3 linked regions of the Elephas maximus indicus genome follow. The protein of the gene in region 1 purifies or fractionates together with the protein of each later gene. This does not show direct contact. Links are inferred from orthologs where the notes say so. Each region holds a gene or a part of one and is shown on either strand. Other genes may lie near its edges.

Evidence for each region.
Region 2: the proteins of ASF1B (region 1) and TLK1 purify together in Homo sapiens (co-immunoprecipitation; 3 studies listed by BioGRID and IntAct, counting the BioPlex papers as one, with this or other methods). This does not show direct contact. The link is inferred for Elephas maximus indicus from reciprocal best matches to the Homo sapiens genes ASF1B and TLK1.
Region 3: the proteins of ASF1B (region 1) and MCM6 purify together in Homo sapiens (affinity purification with mass spectrometry; 4 studies listed by BioGRID and IntAct, counting the BioPlex papers as one, with this or other methods). This does not show direct contact. The link is inferred for Elephas maximus indicus from reciprocal best matches to the Homo sapiens genes ASF1B and MCM6.

What each region holds. Positions count from the first base shown.
Region 1 is NC_064821.1:32,773,227-32,779,178, forward strand, and holds the start of ASF1B (histone chaperone ASF1B), read right to left. Parts: upstream 3,138-5,952; 5' UTR 2,957-3,137; coding exon 2,848-2,956; intron 1-2,847. UniProt on the Homo sapiens protein: Histone chaperone that facilitates histone deposition and histone exchange and removal during nucleosome assembly and disassembly. Cooperates with chromatin assembly factor 1 (CAF-1) to promote replication-dependent chromatin assembly.
Region 2 is NC_064824.1:69,384,456-69,390,407, reverse strand, and holds the start of TLK1 (serine/threonine-protein kinase tousled-like 1), read left to right. Parts: upstream 1-2,410; 5' UTR 2,411-2,810; coding exon 2,811-2,949; intron 2,950-5,952. UniProt on the Homo sapiens protein: Rapidly and transiently inhibited by phosphorylation following the generation of DNA double-stranded breaks during S-phase. This is cell cycle checkpoint and ATM-pathway dependent and appears to regulate processes involved in chromatin assembly.
Region 3 is NC_064824.1:30,991,534-30,997,485, forward strand, and holds the start of MCM6 (DNA replication licensing factor MCM6), read right to left. Parts: upstream 4,021-5,952; 5' UTR 3,942-4,020; coding exon 3,835-3,941; intron 342-3,834; coding exon 195-341; intron 1-194. UniProt on the Homo sapiens protein: Acts as a component of the MCM2-7 complex (MCM complex) which is the replicative helicase essential for 'once per cell cycle' DNA replication initiation and elongation in eukaryotic cells.

The sequences.
Region 1 (5,952 bases):
AGATGCTGCGGAGAAAGGGGCTTGGCACCCTTGGGAAATGGGGGTTGGCTAACTGACCGGGGGTTGGGTGCCTTGTCAGATTTCAGTTGGCAGCACAGAGAGGTAAAAAGACTGAGGTTTCTCCAGGACCAGAGAGACTTTTAAGGCAGCCCCACTCCATCTGTTTGGAAGGCAGGAAACGGATTCTGCTTTGTGGGAAGAAGGCCAGGAAGAGGCAGAAAGCAAGCTGGCATGTCAGAGTCACCAACAGCCATAGGAGGTAGAACCATAGAGTCTGGATTCCCAGGCCAGGGTTTGATTCCCAACTTGAGTTTCTCTGAGCAAAAGCTCTACTATCTGGCATAATTAAGAATAGCGCCCCTTTTACTCTCTTTTGAATGTCCTGATTTGGCAATAAATTGTATGGTCCCTCCTATTTATAAGCAGCCCTGGTGGCACAGTAGCTAAGAGCTCAGCTGCTAACCAAAAGGTCTATGGTTGGAAACCACCAGCTTGCTCCACGGGAGGAAGAAGGGGCAGTCTACTTCGGTTAAAGATTTACAGCCTTGAAAACTCTGTGGGACAGTCTTACTCTGTCCTATAGGGTAGCTTTGAGTTGGAATCAACTCCACAGCAATGGGTTTTTTTGGTTTCCTATTTAAACTCCGCCTCTAAAGTAGGAAATGCTTTCTTTCTTTCGCCTACTAGGATAAGAGCAAAGACAATGAAACCAGACTCAGACCTCAGCAACAAGTTTTCATCCCAACATTTCTATAAACTGGCTGTGTGACCTTGGAGAAGTCACTCCACTTCCCTCTATTAAAAAGGAAAACACTGCAGGCTAACTTTAACCTTTCCTGTCCCAATACTATAAACAAATTACTAAAGTCACCGGGCACGGACTTCCAGGAATAATAGTACTAAATAATGGCCATGCAACCATTTTTAATTCAAGAAGTACAAACAGGCTGATTGCAACCTGATCTCCTGCCATCTGGGAACTGTGAATCCCTTAACCTATTAGCTCCTTACATCTCTTCCTGGCTTTAAAATTAAATCTTATTCCACAGTGTCATTCTACACTTTATTTATTTATTTACACCCAGACTTGTTCTAGCAAGGATTTAACTTGGCTTACTCTATACTTAGTCACAAATGGACTCCTTAATTTAAAAAAAGAGTGTGAGACACAGGGGGAGAGTGACCACTGGCTCACCTGTAGGCCACACATCCTTCAAACTGTATCAGCCGCAAGCAATCCAAGCAGCAGGCTCTGTGAGCAAACCACACATCTGCCACTGAGAGGCGCTAGTTAGCGCGCCAGCCTCACCTCAGTTGCTGCCCCTTCTCCTTTAATGGCCAAGTGGAGAGGTGGTCTAGCTGATTACTTCCTCCTGAAAGCAGGACTTGCCTGTCAGCTGTGCCAAAGCTCCCTGGGTGACCTTAGCCATTTAGTTTTAGATTTTTATAGACCTCTTCTTGAAAGGTCTTTTACTCTTTGTGGTGCCTGCTTTCTCATCTGAGATGAGAGCCATGTCTACCTCCTTTATGTCACACAGACTTGTAAGTACATTCATGAAAGCACCTTGGAAAAGATGCACAAAAGGTTGTGACCTCCTAGCTGATTATTTGAAGCCAGATGCTGTCTCAGCTCAGCCTGTCCCACCCACTCCTCAGACTAGGTCAAACCATCAAACGCATTGGAAGAATTGCTGCAGTAAGTCAGCTGGAACCTGGTGGGCAAACCCTGGGAACTGGCTCACACTTGCCTGGCTACACCACCCCTCAGATTGGCAGGTGTTTATCCAAGCTGATTAGCAGAGAGGAGGGAGAAACAGGAACTTGGGAGGACCAAGTTACCCTCCAAGTCTAGAGGGAGAAGCCAGGCCATCCCTCCCTAGATGGAGCTCAAGTGTAGGGGATCAGACTGAGGAGGAGAAAAGCCAAGTTCTAGAGTGTATGCTTTGGGGTGGAGAGCAAGCAGAAGTTGGGAGGCAAGGTGGGAAAGATGTTTAAATATAAGCAAGTTGGGGAGGGGATTGTTAGGGGAGATGGAGTAAGATCATGTGACAGGAAAGTCTTAACAGGGAAAAAGGAAGGTGACTTTAGGGGGAGGTCTCCACAGGGAAAAAGAAGGGGTGTTTGGAGGAGAGGTCTCCACAGAAAAAATGACAGGTGGCTGAGGTCTCTACAGGATAAAAATGAGTTGGGAGTGTCTGGCCACAGGGGAGTGGGGATGAGTGGCAGCCTCATCCCATTGGGTGGCTGGAAGGGGGGGTCTGGCCTTCCAGAAACGGAGGGTCACTTGGAATGCGTCTTGCCATAGGGAAGAATGGAGGCTGAGAAGGTCCCTACTTAAACGGGTAGCTGGGAGGAGCTCTACCAAAAAAAAAAAAAAAAAAAGGGATGATGTTTCCACAGGAAAGTGGGAGAGTGGGGTTGGCCATGGAAGGAGGGGTCTCCACGGGGTGGTCAGGGTTGGCTGTGTGTGGGGAGTCTCAGGGGCAGGTCAGGATTGGCACTGGGGGGGTCACGGGGGAGGTTAGGGTTGGCACTGGGGGGCCTCAGGGGGAGATTAGGTTTGACACTAGGGGGTTTCCATGGGGAGGTAGAGGTTGACGGGATGGGAGGGTGTTTTCACAGGGAGGTCCGAGTTGGCCACCGGAAGTCAGGGTTGGTTGTGTCAGGAGGATCTCGGGGAGATTAGGGTTGGCATTGGGGTGGTCTCCATGGGGAGGTCGAGGTTGATGGGGGCTGAGAGGTGTCTCCACGAGGAGGTCGGGGTTGACCGTGGGAATGTCTCGAGGGTAAGTCGGGGTTGGCCGTGGGGGGAGGGGGGGAGGTGTCTCCACACAGGCCCAGCCTCACCGTCCGCCAAGGCCTCATTGCACTCGAAGCTGATCTCGAACCGGAAGGGGCTGTGGAAAGGGGTCGGGTTCTCCAGCACCGCCACGTTCAGCACCGATACTTTGGCCATCGCCTCGCCGGGCCGGGGCTGGTACCAGGGCTGAGGCCGGGCCGGGGCCAACCTAGGGCCTGCGTCCGGTGGGTTAGGAGGCAGGGTTCCAAGAGCCGCTCCCGACTCCTCTCTACGCGGACTGAAATGCGCACCTCGTCCGCGCGCCGCCTTCAAATAGCCACCCCACCCCCCGGCCAATCACCGCCAACGCTCCCCGGCGGCGCGAGCCCGTCTTCAGCCAATCCTGGAGCGCCGGCGGGCGCGCGCCGAGACTCCCGGACCAATCAGGGGTGCTCCCTCCCCGGTGAGCGCGAGAGGGACGGGAACGTCTCCATGCTTCTTTGGGCCCCCATCCCCACCTGGGAGCCAATCCCCAGTGTCTCCGACTCGGATGCAGAGGGCGAGAGTGGGCGGAGAAAGAGCAGGGCCTCCTCCTGGCCAATCCCAAGGGTTCCCGCACCAGCGTGGCGCGCGCTTCGCCCCGCCCTTCCGGGGCACGCATCCCACGGGGCAGCGCCGCCAACGGCCGAACGGGGGCGCGCGGCGCACGCTGAAGAGGGCGGGAAGGGCGGTGCTTGCGTCAGCGGTGATTGGCGGGCGGGAGTGGGTGGGAATAAAGCAGGTTTAGTGATAGGCGATTGGCTGAGTTGACCGCGGGGGCTGGAGGAGAGCTAGCACAACTGGGATTCGCGGAATGGGTGGGGGGAGTCGGGCGCCTGCGCGACTGCGTCGAGTCTGAAGAGAAAAGAGCGTTTGCGGCCTCGGCGTCTGTCAGCGGGTGAGCGTTACCGGGAGCGTCACTCAGGAGTTCCTGGCTACTCAGGTCAGGCGGCCAGGGAGTCCGTTATGAACGTTGTGAACGTTGGGCTCAGCCGTGGGGAGACGGAGTGGCAGTAACGCGCTACGCTTGGCCTGGCTTCAGGACTGGGGCCTGGTTCGAATCCCACTGTCGGCATCTCGAGGGCCGCTGGGAGGTTTCAAGTAGATAATACCCCTCAAGCGCGAAGCGTCTGATAGACGTGGGTTCGAGTCCGAGCTCTGCCACTCCCATTTCCTCGTCCATTAAACGGGCTGTGAAAATTCACTGACATGACTCGTGACTCCACAATACTTGCAGAAACTTCACCTCCATCCGTGGTCTGGACCACCGACGCCTCCTGCCTGGAGCACCCAAGAACTTCTGCAACCACTCTGTCTCGGCGACCAGTATTGTCCAGTGGAAAAGTAACGCAAGCCACATACCTAATTTTACATTTTCTAGTATCCACATTAAAAAAATAGAAAAAAAGTGAAATTAATTTTAATAACGTGTCAAGTCTAATCCCATATAGCCAAAATATTACTGCCACATATGATTATAAAAATACGAAGGAGATAACTTACGTATTTTTACTCAGTACTAAGGCTTTGACAGCCTGTGTGTGTTTCACAGGTACAGCACATCTGTAACTGGGACCCTAAATTTTCATCGGAAATAGTTATTCTGCCTTTAGGTTTCATACAGTTTACAGTTGGAGAAGTAGATTCGTGTGTCGAAGTTGTTCCAAACATGCGTAAAAGTTTTCCATTAGCTGAATTGTATTTCGGAGTTTTAATTTTTAAATTAAATAAAATTGAAAGTTCAGTTTGCAGTTGAATTTGCCACCTGTGGAAAAAGACTCCTGTACTATTGGATAGTGCAAACCTAAAACAGTTGGATCAGGTCACGCCCCTGCTTGAAACGGGAGTGGTTTTCTACAGTTCTGGACTGAGAACATTGTTATCAAGACCCTACATGCTTTGTTTCCTATTACCTACTCATCTCCAGCTTCAGTCCAGCCAAACAGACCCCTTTTTTGTTGCTTAAAAAACTGATAGCTCAGAGCCCCTGCCTGGAACCTCTTTTCCCAACTCTTGGCCCAGCTAGTGCCTTTTCACTCAGGCTTCTTGCTTCAAATGCGCTTTCCTCAGAGAAGCCTTTCCAATGGTCCCCTGGACAGTGTTCAAACTTACTCCTTTGGTATTCTGGGCCATCTAGGATGGGATGTAAGCCTCTGCTACTCTATAAACCTTAACAGCACTGATCTAAGCCTCCAGCATCTCTTACCTGGCCACCTCTGGGTTCTCCTCAGAATCTTAAGGCTTCATGGTGTGAGGCATATATATTTTTTTTTTTTTTTGGTATATACATTAAGAAAAAAAATTTTTTTCCATTAAAAAAAATGGGAAGTTATTTTTTTCTTTTGATATTACTTGCCTGCAAGAAAATTGACATTTATAATTGGCTTGATCTGGCAAATGCTGGGCATACTTGGGAATTTCTGTGACTTGAGAAGAATCTAATTTCCAAATGATTTCCAAGTGTGATTGATTTTTTGCAAATACTAAATTATCAATGCATGAAGTTGCTATGATGTTAAGTTTTCTAAATAAACATTTAGTTAAACATTTATTGATTTCAACTTTGCAGTTTTGTTTTTTCTCTGTGGAAGTTTTTCCCCCTTTATCCCCACCCCATTGTTTTCATAGCTCCTGAAAAGCTCAGCGGCCACAAGCATTTTCTGTCTGTGGTGCTAGTAGAGAAAATGGTCCTGTCTGTGACGAGTTCTCCATACAGCCGTCCGAGTGATCTTCAAATATAAATCAGATCATGTCATTCCCCTGCTTAAACTCTTCAAAGGCTCATCATACCTAGGATGAATCCTAAAGTCTTCACTATGGCTTAGGAAGGTTGCCGAAGTTCCTTAGGAGGCCCTGCATGGTGGCCTTAGCTGACCTCTGGGACCTAATCTACCACTTCCCTTTTTGCCACCATTCTCAAGCCATGCTGGCTTTATTGCTGTTCTTTTAATTCACCAAGCTTATTCCTGCCTCAGGGCTTTGCACTTGCTGTTTCCTCTGCCTGGAATGTGCTGCCCCCAGATAATTGCGTGACTGTCTCATTCCCATCATTTATGTTTCAGCTCAAATGTCTTTCTTCGAGGAACCTTTCCAGACCACCCTATTGACAGTAGCACTTCCTTAATCATATCAAC
Region 2 (5,952 bases), on another chromosome or scaffold:
AAACCATGGTAATTAGCTCCCTATTGCTGCAGAGGCCTCTTTGTAGGTGCTATCTTAATTGTAAGCTATGAAAGGCAGAAATTGATCATTTAATTGTCCTTCCTAGCCAGCACTCACAAAAATATATCTAATTTGATGATGAATATGCATGATCCTCCATTTATAATAAAAGGAGCCAGTCAGCATAAATGTTACACGGCTAAGGGCTGATATAAAGGTAACCTGAAGCTTCGGAGAGAGGGATAGGATCCTATCTTTTTGTTCGGGCTCTGTATACTCTCGAGTTGAGCTCTGTATAGAGTCTTGGAATTGGCAGGAACTTTACAGATCTAGCCACTTTTCCAAAGATCAGGTAATTGAATTAAAGATTGTGACTAGTTTCTTAACTTCCTTCCAGCTCTATGCTCTTTTCACCACAATCTGCTAAGCTTATTCCTTTAAAAATACAGTAAGAGCATATACTTATCTACATGTTGTTATAGAAACTTTATACCCCCTTATAGTTAGAGTGCATATAATATGACATAAAAATCTAATGGTAAACTCGTGAGTATGTATCCAAGAGAAAGGAAGGCATATGTACACACAAAGACTTGTACATGAGTGTTAACAGCAGCACTATTTGTAAAAGCGAAAAATGGCCGTAACACAAAGGTTCATCAATATGTGACTGGATAAACAAAGTGTGTACATTCATACAAATGAATACCACTCAGCAATAAAAAGGAACGAACTATTGATAAATGCAACAATGTGATTGAATCTCAATTATGTCCAGTGAAAGAAGCTAGAGAAAAGAGTGCCTATACTCTGGTTCTATTTATTTAAAATTTTAGAAAATGCAAACTAATCTATAGTGACAGTGGTTGGGGATGGGGGGGAGTGGACGAGGAACCTCAGTAGAGAAAACTTTGGGGGTGATGGATATACTGATGATCTTGATTGTAGAGAGGGTTTCAAGGGTATATACATGTCAAAATTTATCAAATTGTACACCTTAAACACATGCAGTTTACTGCATGTCAATTATACCTCAATAAAGCTGTTTAATTTGTGAGATCTACCTCTTACATTTGAAAAGCAGAAGATGATTAAAAACCCACTGAAGTATCTCAAGCATAAAACTAAAATTACTTCTGGAGATAATTGACAACCAAGGTTCTATTCTAGTATGATGGTTTATCTGAACAAAACATTACTGTCAGAAATGCAAAGTCATAAAAATAAAAAATAGAAATGACATTTTTGTCCCCTGGTAATCATGCCATTTCCTCATGCCTGTACAATTGCTCTATATCATAATCTGTTTACTGTTCTATTCAACTTGGTTTTTTAAAGAATGCAATAACCTTGTTGTACTTTTCCTGAACTACCAGACTACTCTTTTATATACAAGATGTCCAATCCCTGGTGCATGTGTGGGTGTGTAGAAAGCTACACCGCGTCTATAAATTTTAGAAAATGCTGTAATTTGCTTTGAGATTTTCTAGTCAGAGCTGGGGGAAAAATAGAAACAAATTGGAACTTTCTAGAAACATGCCCTTTCTACACGATGAACACTGGGTAATTTTCCTAAATATGTGAATTCAGCGTTAAAAATTTTCTATTTAGATTTTCCACTTACGGTTTCAAAACAAAAAGAACTGCTATGCCACATGTACGGTCTACAATACCGGTAGTGATTTTCAATTCCTTTACTAAAGATTTTTTTTTTTTTTAAGAAAACATTCAGAAAGTTTATATCGCAACATCCCCCTCCCCAACTTATTTCCTCAGTTCTTTTATTCGGTAATTACTCCCATTCTGCAGAGTGGGAGACGCACACAGGTTTTTTGCACAGTACAGAAGAGCAAGACAGAAGCAACTTTCAACTTTTCAGTTCCATCTTGAAAAACGATGACTTCTAACCACGGAGAAGCGACAGTCGAGCAAGAGCAGAAGCATTCCTCCCCAGGCTGGGTGTGGGTCGGGAGCCAGGCGCGCTTCCGCGGGAGAGGGGGAGTCAGGTGGCAGGGGCGCGGGAGCCGGAGCTGCGCGGAGGGGGCGCGTGCGGGGCGCGCCTCCCTCCGGCCGGCGCGGGGAGGGCGGCCCGCGCACGCGAGTCCGTCGGCCCGGGGCTCCCGCGCTGCGATCCGCGGGCGCGCCGGGGGCGCCCCCTCGGCCGCGTCTCCTCCCTCGCGCGCTCGCTCCCTCCTCACACCCCCGCCCCCAGGCTCTGGCAGGTCCCTCCCCCATGCCTGCTCCGGCGGCCGCCGCCGCTACCGGAGGCGCAGGAGCCTCGCGATAGTGTTTGCACAGGCGGCGCGTGACGCCGCCGCCGCCGCCTCCTGTAACTGATGCAGAGGTTACCCTGCCGCCGCCGCCTCAGCCGCCACCCACCGTCCGCTGCCGCCGCCACCCAGGCGACGCCGGGGGCCGACGCACTGCAGAGGTGCCGGCAGGTTCCGCCCGCGGAAGTCTCCTCGGCCGGCGCTGCCCGCGCTCCGCCCGCGCTTCGACCCCAGCCCGGCGGGCGCCCCCTCGACGCCCTTACCGCGGCGCTCCTTCCCTCCGCCTCTTCTCCGGCGCGCCCGCCCGCTCCTTCTCTTCTCCCCCTTTTCCTCCTCCCAGTCCCCTCTCCTCCCCTCACCTCTTCCCTTTCCACCTCCCCCCTGCTCGGTTTCCTTCCCCCATCCCCTTGACTCTCCCCTCCCTGCCCTCACTCTCTCCCTCGCCCTCAGCGCGGCCCCCGCCATGACGGAGGCGGGTGCCGGTGCCGTTGCCACTGCTGCTGTCTCGGGGGCAGAGTCGGGTTCCCAGAAAGTAGCTTGATGAGTGTCCAAAGTAGCAGTGGAAGTTTGGAGGGGCCGCCATCTTGGTCCCAGCTCTCCACGTCTCCAACCCCGGGCTCGGCGGCGGCGGCCAGGTCCCTGCTGAATCACACGCCGCCATCCGGGAGGCCCAGGGAAGGTAAGCACCGCCGCGCCCGCTCGCGGGCCCCCTTCCCGCGCCACGGCCCCCGCGCCCTCGGGTCTCCTCTCCTCGACCCTGGGGTGGGGGATGGTGGCGAGGTGGCCGCGAGGCCGCCGGGCTCCGGGGAGGTAGTGCGCTGGCTGTGGGTGGTGGTTCACGGGTGGCGGAGGAGACGAGCGAGGGGGTGCGGGCTGGTGGGGACGGGGCGAGGCGCACAGACTCGTCTGGCTTCCTAAGAGCCCGTCGTGCGAGGGTGGGAAGCCTCCCTCCGGACGCGAGTCCCTTTCTGCCCCCTTTCCTAGTACACTCCATACGTTTAACCTCCTGGCCTCCTCTGTCTCTGGTGGGTTTTCCCTCCCGTTGGAGCATTCATCCTCGCGAGCCCCCTCCCATTCGCCCTCGCACTCCTCCCACAGAGGCGGTCCCGTGGCTCCGCAAGCTTTGCTGCCCGGGACCTGGATGCACTTCGTTTGCAGGGTCTCTTCTCTTTAGGGAGAGACGCTGAAATTATTGTCTAGGCAGACTTTGATCCCCTGCCCTAGAGCAATTTAAACGACAGTGTGACTCGTGGGCAGGTTCTTAAATCACCCCTCCAGATGGTTGCAACTTTCTCTCCTTCGCCATCACCTTCTGCGTGTTTGTGCGTTCTCTCTCTTCTGCAAGTAGACTACTGTTCTTCTCTGACAGGGTCGTGGGTTTTGTGGGAAATATCTGCGTAAAGGTTACTGCAAACACGCACCAGATCGGTTACGATTGTTTTCTAAGTTTTCTGGCTTCTTGCATGAAAGTGTGCTGCCACCAGATGTAGCAGTTACACAGCTAGTAAGACACCGGAGTGCTTTTGGCTAAAATTTCAACTTGCTGTGTTTAACTTTAAGTATACGACACAAAATGAAATTCAGGAGAACGCTCATTTATGGGGGAAGAGTAAATGTGCATGGAATCGCGTTTAACGCTCTTTGTCTGGAAAATGTTTAGCGGTATTCATCAGCAGTTGGTAAACGGGTTGTTCAGTCCCAGTTGTCTCATGCAAGATTGTAGCCACATTTTCACAAGAAGAAAAAAAAAAAAAACGTGTGGAAGTCAGTCTAATGGATCTTTTAAAGAAAGCAGGAGCATCAATTTATGTAGAAATCGATGGGTTTAATTTATTTTGAAAATATCACTCAATATTTATTACTCATAGCCTTGACAGTTGTTAATCTAGTGTTTTGTGCCCTGAATCCAGCGGTTCAGGCGTAGCATTCTTTGTCATTTTGTTCCTGTGAGCATGTGTGAAAGTGACAATAGGCTCAAAGATTGGCATGAATTTGCTCTAGAAAATTCGTGGGAAGGTTTGATTTATGGCATCCATTAAACATGCTGAATATATTGACAGACATTTTTCCCTTTCATTTTGCTCTCAACACTGAGTTCTGGTTATTAATAAAAGTTTATTTATTGACTCACTCAAATTTAGTATCTGGTGATCTTTGTGCACTTGAAAAATTTTAAATGAATATTTTAAAAGGTATTTTGTAAACGGAACAGTTGGGTGCTTTTAGCATGCTTTTACTTCGTAATTTCATTAAGGTGCTTACTGGTAGTGTTGTGAGTTGAGAAAGACCATTTTATTTTATTTTTTAAAGGTGTTTTATCATTCATTCCTCAATTGTTGAGCCATTATTGTAAGCCAGTCCCTGTACTAGATACTGAGGGTATATGATTATGTCTGTTATTGTCTGTTGTTCATCTGTTGACATTGGTTATCAGTGTTAGTAATTTGGGGGCCACGAAATCTAGATTGAGTTTCTGAAGTTACTTCAACTCTAGTTAAAAATTTCTTTATCTGTACTATTCTGCACTTTTCCTGATATTTGAAAGTTTTGAAGGGTTAGAATAATTAACCTGGACTTTGAAATAACCAGAATTTTCCAGCAGTTTAGATTACCGTAGATTTTTGTGTAACCTAAAATAGGGAATCTGTTAATTAATACGAAAGTAGGATGTGTTTTGTGAAAGTTATATTTCATATCAAGTCCCTGCGTGTGGTCTCTCTCTGACCAACCAGCATGTAGATTAAAAACTGAGTTAACCAGTTGCTATCAAAATCAGTTCGAACTCAGGGCAACCCCACGTGTGTCTGAATAGAACCTGTGCTCCATAGGGTTTTCAGTGGCTGATTTTTCAGAAATAGATTGCCAGGCCTTTCTTCTGAGGCACCTCTGGGTAGACTCCAACCTCTCTGAAACCAGTTGCTATCAAGTCAGTTTCAACTCATGGCCACCCCATGTGTGTCAGTGTAGAACTGTGCTCCATAGGGTTTTCAATGGCTGACTTTTTAGAAGTCGATCACCAGGCTTTTCTTCTGAGACACTTTTGAGTGGACTCAAATCGCCAACCTTTTGGTTAGCAGGAGAGTACTTCAGTCATTTGCACCACCTAGGGACTCCCAACCCTCTTTCGGGATATATTTCTCTTAGAGCTTGAGTTATATCCTCAAGTTTCACTAATGTTAACAGGAACATTGTCCTATCAAAATGGAGATATCCTCTATAGAGTAGAATCCGAGTTTATATTTTTAAAGTGTTTAGCACCTTTTCCAGGTATACATGTCACTGTATTATATAAATTGATGTAACTTCAGAGCTTTTGACTTCTGTTGGATGTTAGTAAGAACCATTAACATGAATGGAACTTAAATGTATGTGTCAAGGAGAGAACAAACTTTGTTTCCTGAAAAATTGAATCTATTTTAATTTAAAATATGGTAATAGAAAAATGTAAACCTCGGAGAGATACACACACACGTGCGTACATGTTTGTTGTTAGGTTCTGTCAAGTCAGTTCCGACTCATTGTGACCCTATGTATAACAGAATGAAACCTTGCCTGGTCCTCACAATTGTTATGCTTGAGGCCATTTTTGCAGCCACTGTGTCAGTCCATTTTATTGAAGGTCTTCCCCTTTTTCGCTGATCCTCTGCTTTGGCAAGCATGATGTCCTTCTCCAGGGACTGGT
Region 3 (5,952 bases), on another chromosome or scaffold:
TGTAAGAAACATTCAGCTCCAGGAAGGCCTGGGTTAAGTTCAGAGCAGTACTAAAATGGCAGATGTTACCAAAGGGCCTCCGCTCTGAGCAGGGAAGTAACGATGACAGCTGCCCTCCTGTCTCACCAGTGAACACTGGGAAGCCAGAGTCCCAGACCTCTGGCCCTATGCAGGGTAGAGTAATGCACCCGTACCTGTAGAACTCCTCCTGAATGGTGGTGGAAAGTTGCTGGTTGAATTGTTCCAGGTCCAGGAAACTCACCACCAGTGTGTTTCTCTCAGGGCGGATCAGCTCTTCTGCCAGCTGCAAGTACTTGCCTTCTCCATCACTGCTCTGGAACCTGGGGGTACGTGCCAGTCAGATTAAACTGAAGAACTAGGGGCAGTCAAAGAACAATCTGGATGTTGACAGTTCAACATATTGGTAAGACTGTAGGCTTCAGAGTCAGCAGGCCCAGGCTCAGGAGATCTGTAACTCAGAGCAAGTAACTTACACCTGACCCAGCCCCTGCTTTTTTAATTTATTCCTTTTTTAAAATTGTGGTTTAGGTGAAAGTTTATAGCTCAAGTTAGTTTCTCATACAAAAATTTATACACACATTGTTGTGACCCTAGTTGCTCTCCCTATAACATGACTGCACATTCATCCCTTCTAACCTGGATTTCCTGTGTCCACTCCACCAGCTCCTGTCCCTTTCTGCCTTCTCATCTCACCTCCGGGCAGGTGCTGCCCATTTAGTCTCATGTACCTACTTGAACTGAGAAGCACACTCTTCATGAGTATCATTTTATGTCTTATAGTTCAGTCTATTCTTTGTCTGAAGAGTTGGCTTCAGCAATGGGTTTAGTTCTAGGTTAAGAGAGAGCCCAGGGGCCATGTCTTCTGGGGTTTCTCCAGTTTTCGTCAGACCATCAAGTCTGGTCTTGTTACTAGAATTTGAGTTCTGCACCCCACTTTTCTCCTGCTCCATCAGGGACTCTCTGTTGTGTTCCCTGTTGTGACCCAAGGCGGTCATTGGTGGTAGCCAGGCACCATCTAGTTCTTCCAGTCTAAGGTTTACATGGCGCCTTTTGTCTTTTGTGCTAATATTTTTCTTGTGTCTTTGGTGTGCTTCATTCTCCTTTGTTCCAGGTGGGTTGGGACCAACTGATGCATCTTAGATGGCTGCCTGACAGCTTTTAAGACCCCAGATGCCACTCACCAAAGTGGGATGCAGAACATTTTCTTAATAAATTTTGTTATGCCAATTGACCTAGATATCCCGGATACTCTTCTTCTTCTTTTTTTTTTTTTACAGATGAGGGCACATCACCTCATGTCATAAGACCACTATGATTATATGTAGTCTTTTGCACAGTGCTGGAACACAAGAAAAGGTCCTTGGGCTTTAACCTGAATTTCTTGAATGGAATATTTCCAATCAACTAATGTGTTCAATTGGTAACTATTACTATCGTGATACATAATGTTTAATCAAGAAATTCAGGCTAAAACCCAAAGATCCAATTTTCCTAGGGAATTTGAAAACCAACAGATTAATTGATCTAAGTGTCTGAATAAAAATAAAAACACAGAAATGAAGTGCTTTATTGTCCACGACTGCAGGGAAATGAAAACACATTCACATGCAAAAAACCTGGTGAATTTTTTCCTCAAAGGGTGTATTACATTCTTTTAAACACAATATGCAGATTAGTATCAATCCCTCCTTGGACAACAGTATGTTGTAACTCTTAAATATTTATTGAACTAATATCTACGTGCAAAACACCTGACAGAGCTCCCTGAACCTGAAAATGAAACTGTTCCGCTCTAGGGTTAATGCTCGCAGGAGACATACATGTAAATAACCAAGGAAGGGAAGAAGGATGTTCCTACTAAAGAAAGACACAAGAGATGTGGCCCTGTTAATATAAGCTAATTCTGCCTAACAGGAACATCTAGAAAGGCTTCATACACATAAACATGACACTAGAATTCCACCTTGAAAGATGTTAAAATTTTGAAAGAAAAATAAGAATGGTGGGTTGGCTACAGGCCCCCCCTTAGCCCTCCCTCCCCCCAGAAAAACTTGCCGTGGAGTCGATTCCGACTCACAGTGACCCTCTCTAGGACAGAGTAGAACTGTCCTGCAGGGTTTCCAAGGAACAGCTGACCTTTTCGGTTAGCAACCATGCTTTTAACCATGGTGCCAACAGAGCTCTAGCGGATTGGCTACAGATGTTTGCAAACATGAGGCAAGGTCACAGAGGGTATGGGAGAAGTGTGGGTGATGACTGATGCTGGTTGTGGAAGATGATCCTGGATAGAGGGGCTGCGAAGAATTCGGACTTTATTCCACAAGTGACGCAGAATCAAAGTTAAGTTTTGAAAAGGAAGTTAACATTTTTTTCTCAACAATGTACAGGGATTATTTGTCATCTTCATCATCATCTAACAATATAATAAAGTGAAGGCACTTAAATTATTCCTTGAAACAAATAATTATGGATGATCTTTATGATGTGGTTTGCTAGGTGGGGTTGAGGATGGGATTTGCATTCAAGCTCAGTGACTGACAGGTAAATAAAGGTACACCCAGCTTACCTTACTTACCCATTGCTGTCGAGTCAATTCTGACTCATAGGGACCCTACAGGACAGAGTGGAACTGCCCCATACAGTTTCCAAGGAGCGCCTGGTAGATATGAACTGCCGACCTTTTGGTTAGTAGCTGTAGCTCTTAACCACTACACCACCAGGGTTTCCAAATAAATGCATATTAATAGAGCTATGTGGCAAATGGCACCCTGAGAAGAACGTTAGAAAAGGGGTTAGTTACAAGGGCTTCACAAAGGCGGTGTGATTCTTTAGCTGGGCTTTGAAAGATAAGAAGCTGTCAGGCAGAGAATAACATAACCAAAGGTAGGGAAATGTAAATTATAGTTTTAAGTATGTAAGAACTTTTTAAGACATTCCAAAGTATTTACACTTCATCCTGGAGTCTGCAGAGTTGATGCTACTAGGGAGAGTAGTGATAGATCTGCCCTAAGAGTGATCACTAGTAACCGTAGGGAGAAGCCAAGGAGGAGTTATGGGGGGCCAGGACCCAGGAAGCTACCGGGAAAGAGGAAAAAGGGGGAGGAACGAAGGAAACAAGGCAGAGAGGAAGCCAGCCAGCCGGCCAGCCAGATCGAGGGATGTAATCAGCTAATTTAATGAAGGGTCAGGCTCACCCCATTCCCACCCCGAAAACTCTGCCTCACATCAGAGGGACCCACAGCGCTGACGCTGATAGTTTCAACTCCACCGGCTCCAACGCAGGCCGGGGACGCGGTGTCCCCAACACTAACCTCTGGGCCGTCTGCCCTCTCAGGGCTCGGCCAGGATTCAAACGCTTGTTTGCTTCTCAATCAACCCCGCCGTGCCTACCGGGACAAGCTGCTTAACCTCACCTAGCCTCGGTTTCCCATCGGGAACAAGGAGGCTGTGAGCGGCCTGTTGTGAGGACTAAGTGACGCAAGCAGAGCGCTCGGCTCAGGGCACCGGGCACAACGAGAGACGAGTTTCATCTCTGAAGCCAGCCCAGCCCTTTCAAGCTCCTCGCCGGCGCTCGGCCTGGGGGACTCAAAAAGAGATGCGGGACCTCCCCCCTTCCAAGCGGCGCAATCCCTCCGTGTCCGAAAAGCGCCGGCCGCACGGAACCGCCCGAGCACGGGGACCCGGGAGCCGCGCGCTCCAGGCGACCCGGCTCAGCAAGCGGAAGGGGCCGCGCGGGGAAGTGCCGCGAGGAAGGGCGCCCACCGGGGCTGGGAGCAGCGGCCGCGGGCAGGGCCTGGGCGCCTGCCGACTTACTCCTCCAAGAAGTCCAGGAACAGTTTCTGGCACTTCTCGGCTACCTCGTCGCGGACTTCCAGGTGCTGGGAGCCCGCGGCCGGCTCGGCTGCCGCCACGAGGTCCATCGCCGCCTATGGCTGGGGTGCAGCCGCCGCCACACTCCTCGCCACGAGCAGCTTCTTCCCGGACGCAGCCGCTTTGCGCGCGCCGCCGCCGCTTTCGCCCCGCCCCCTCGCCCGACCGGGACCACTGGAGCCAATCGTGGCGCGGGAGCTCGGAGATTTCGCGCCAAACCTGCCCAATGAGCGGCCGCTTCTCCCTCAGCCCCGCCCACGGAACGGGGATTTGGCGCCAAATGCTAAGGTCTTCTGGAGAAAACAGAGGTCTGCCATTGTGCCTGCGCAGTGTGGCGGTGTACTGGGAGTGTTGGATTTCTAGAGCACGTTAAAAGTTTGCATGTTTGCCCGGACGGTTATTGAAATCATCCCATTGATGTTAATTGAGTGGTAGGATTACGGCTCTATGGAACAGAAAAATGAGTAAGACTCAACCCTGCTGCTGGAGCTGCTTAGTTGGAAGAAGTAAGCTGTAAACCACCGGATAAAACCCGGGGGTGGGGTTTGGCACTCTGGTTGGTGCTGATAGGGGAAAATGAGCTAAGTATTTGACACTGCATTAGTAAGACTTTACTTTCTTGAGGCTTTCAGCAGGGAGCCTTACAGTGGAAGGTGAGCCATGCTGCCTAAAATGAAGCAAAAAGAAGACTGGTAAAAAGAACAGTGCTTAGCACCAGAGACTCCGTTTTGTTTAAAGGCTCCATTTAGCTAATAATTCCCCTTTACTCCTATTTCTGCTTCTACCCTTGGGATTTTACAACCTTGTAAAACTTTAAAGGAATTTAAGGCAAGAATGTGGTCTGTGGAAGTTCAGGAAATGCTAGTCAGAAGGTGTTTGTCAAGAACGCTTGCACAGCATCTTCCAGGAGGAATGTATATTTATATCAGGATTACTGATATTAAGACTGTGATCATGCACACACCTTGAGGCTATAGTCACTACTACCTTTCCCACTTGACTGTATAAAAGGCTTACACCTTTTTTAATGAGTTTGGGCACTTTGTAATTTTCACTTAGTGCAGCCAGTTCAAACTGCTTTATTCCTCAATAAAACTTTTTGCTTTCACTCCTAACAGAGTAAAGACTGTGCTACAGCATTTCCTGTGTCAGAAGTGGGGATTCAGACAGTGCATTGCCTTTTGTGACCCTCAAGGTGTGGAGGTTTTGGGCTCATTTGGCTGTTTCTGTGGTAAATAGCTGCTTGGATCTGAGCTCTGAGCTTTTGCGTAGCAGCTCTCTGAGTTTTATTCAAGGATTTGTTTTTACTTTCTCTTTTAATCAACCTGGATTTTAGGTCTGTGCTATCCCAGGTTTTGGTTTGGTTGTGACAAGGCATCTCAGAGTCTCCCAAGTTGCAAAATACCAGGGCATGGGTTTGAGCATTTAAAAGTCTTCAGGGTGCTCCCCACCAACTGAAAGATACCCATAGGATAAGCTTGGTTGTGAGATAGGCCAGAAACATTTGGCTGCCCACCAGCCTTAAGACAGTTCTCATACAGTGTAGATACTTGGTGAAACATGACACTGTCCAAACCCCCAGGCAGCATCCCCAATAGGATTTTGTTTGACTTTGAAAAACCAAAAGTAACAACCTATGTTTGATTAATCATCTTTTATGTGTACATTTGTCTGTCTGACTAGGAAAACAGGGCATGTCAGATCAAAGAGCAGCTTGGAGCCACACTCTGGGACTCCCACTATTTTATGCTTTTTATGAACAAACATTTTGGTCCATCAAGATTTGTGTTTTTGTCTAGTGTGCATAACCTTTACAGGGACAATTTGGAAAATCACTGGCCACTTTGGAACCTTTTTGAATTTTGTAAATTAGTTTGTACAGTAAATTAGAAAGTAAGGGCTCCCACATTAAACAACCTCAATGGCTTGCCTATTTTGTTTGGTATCTAAAGGCCTCAAAAAGACATCAAAGTAGCAAAATTGCTTCCCTGCAGGATACTGTTTTCAGATTAAGTAAACAAAATAAGGAGCAACATTGTCAAATCTCTGCTCCTATTCCAT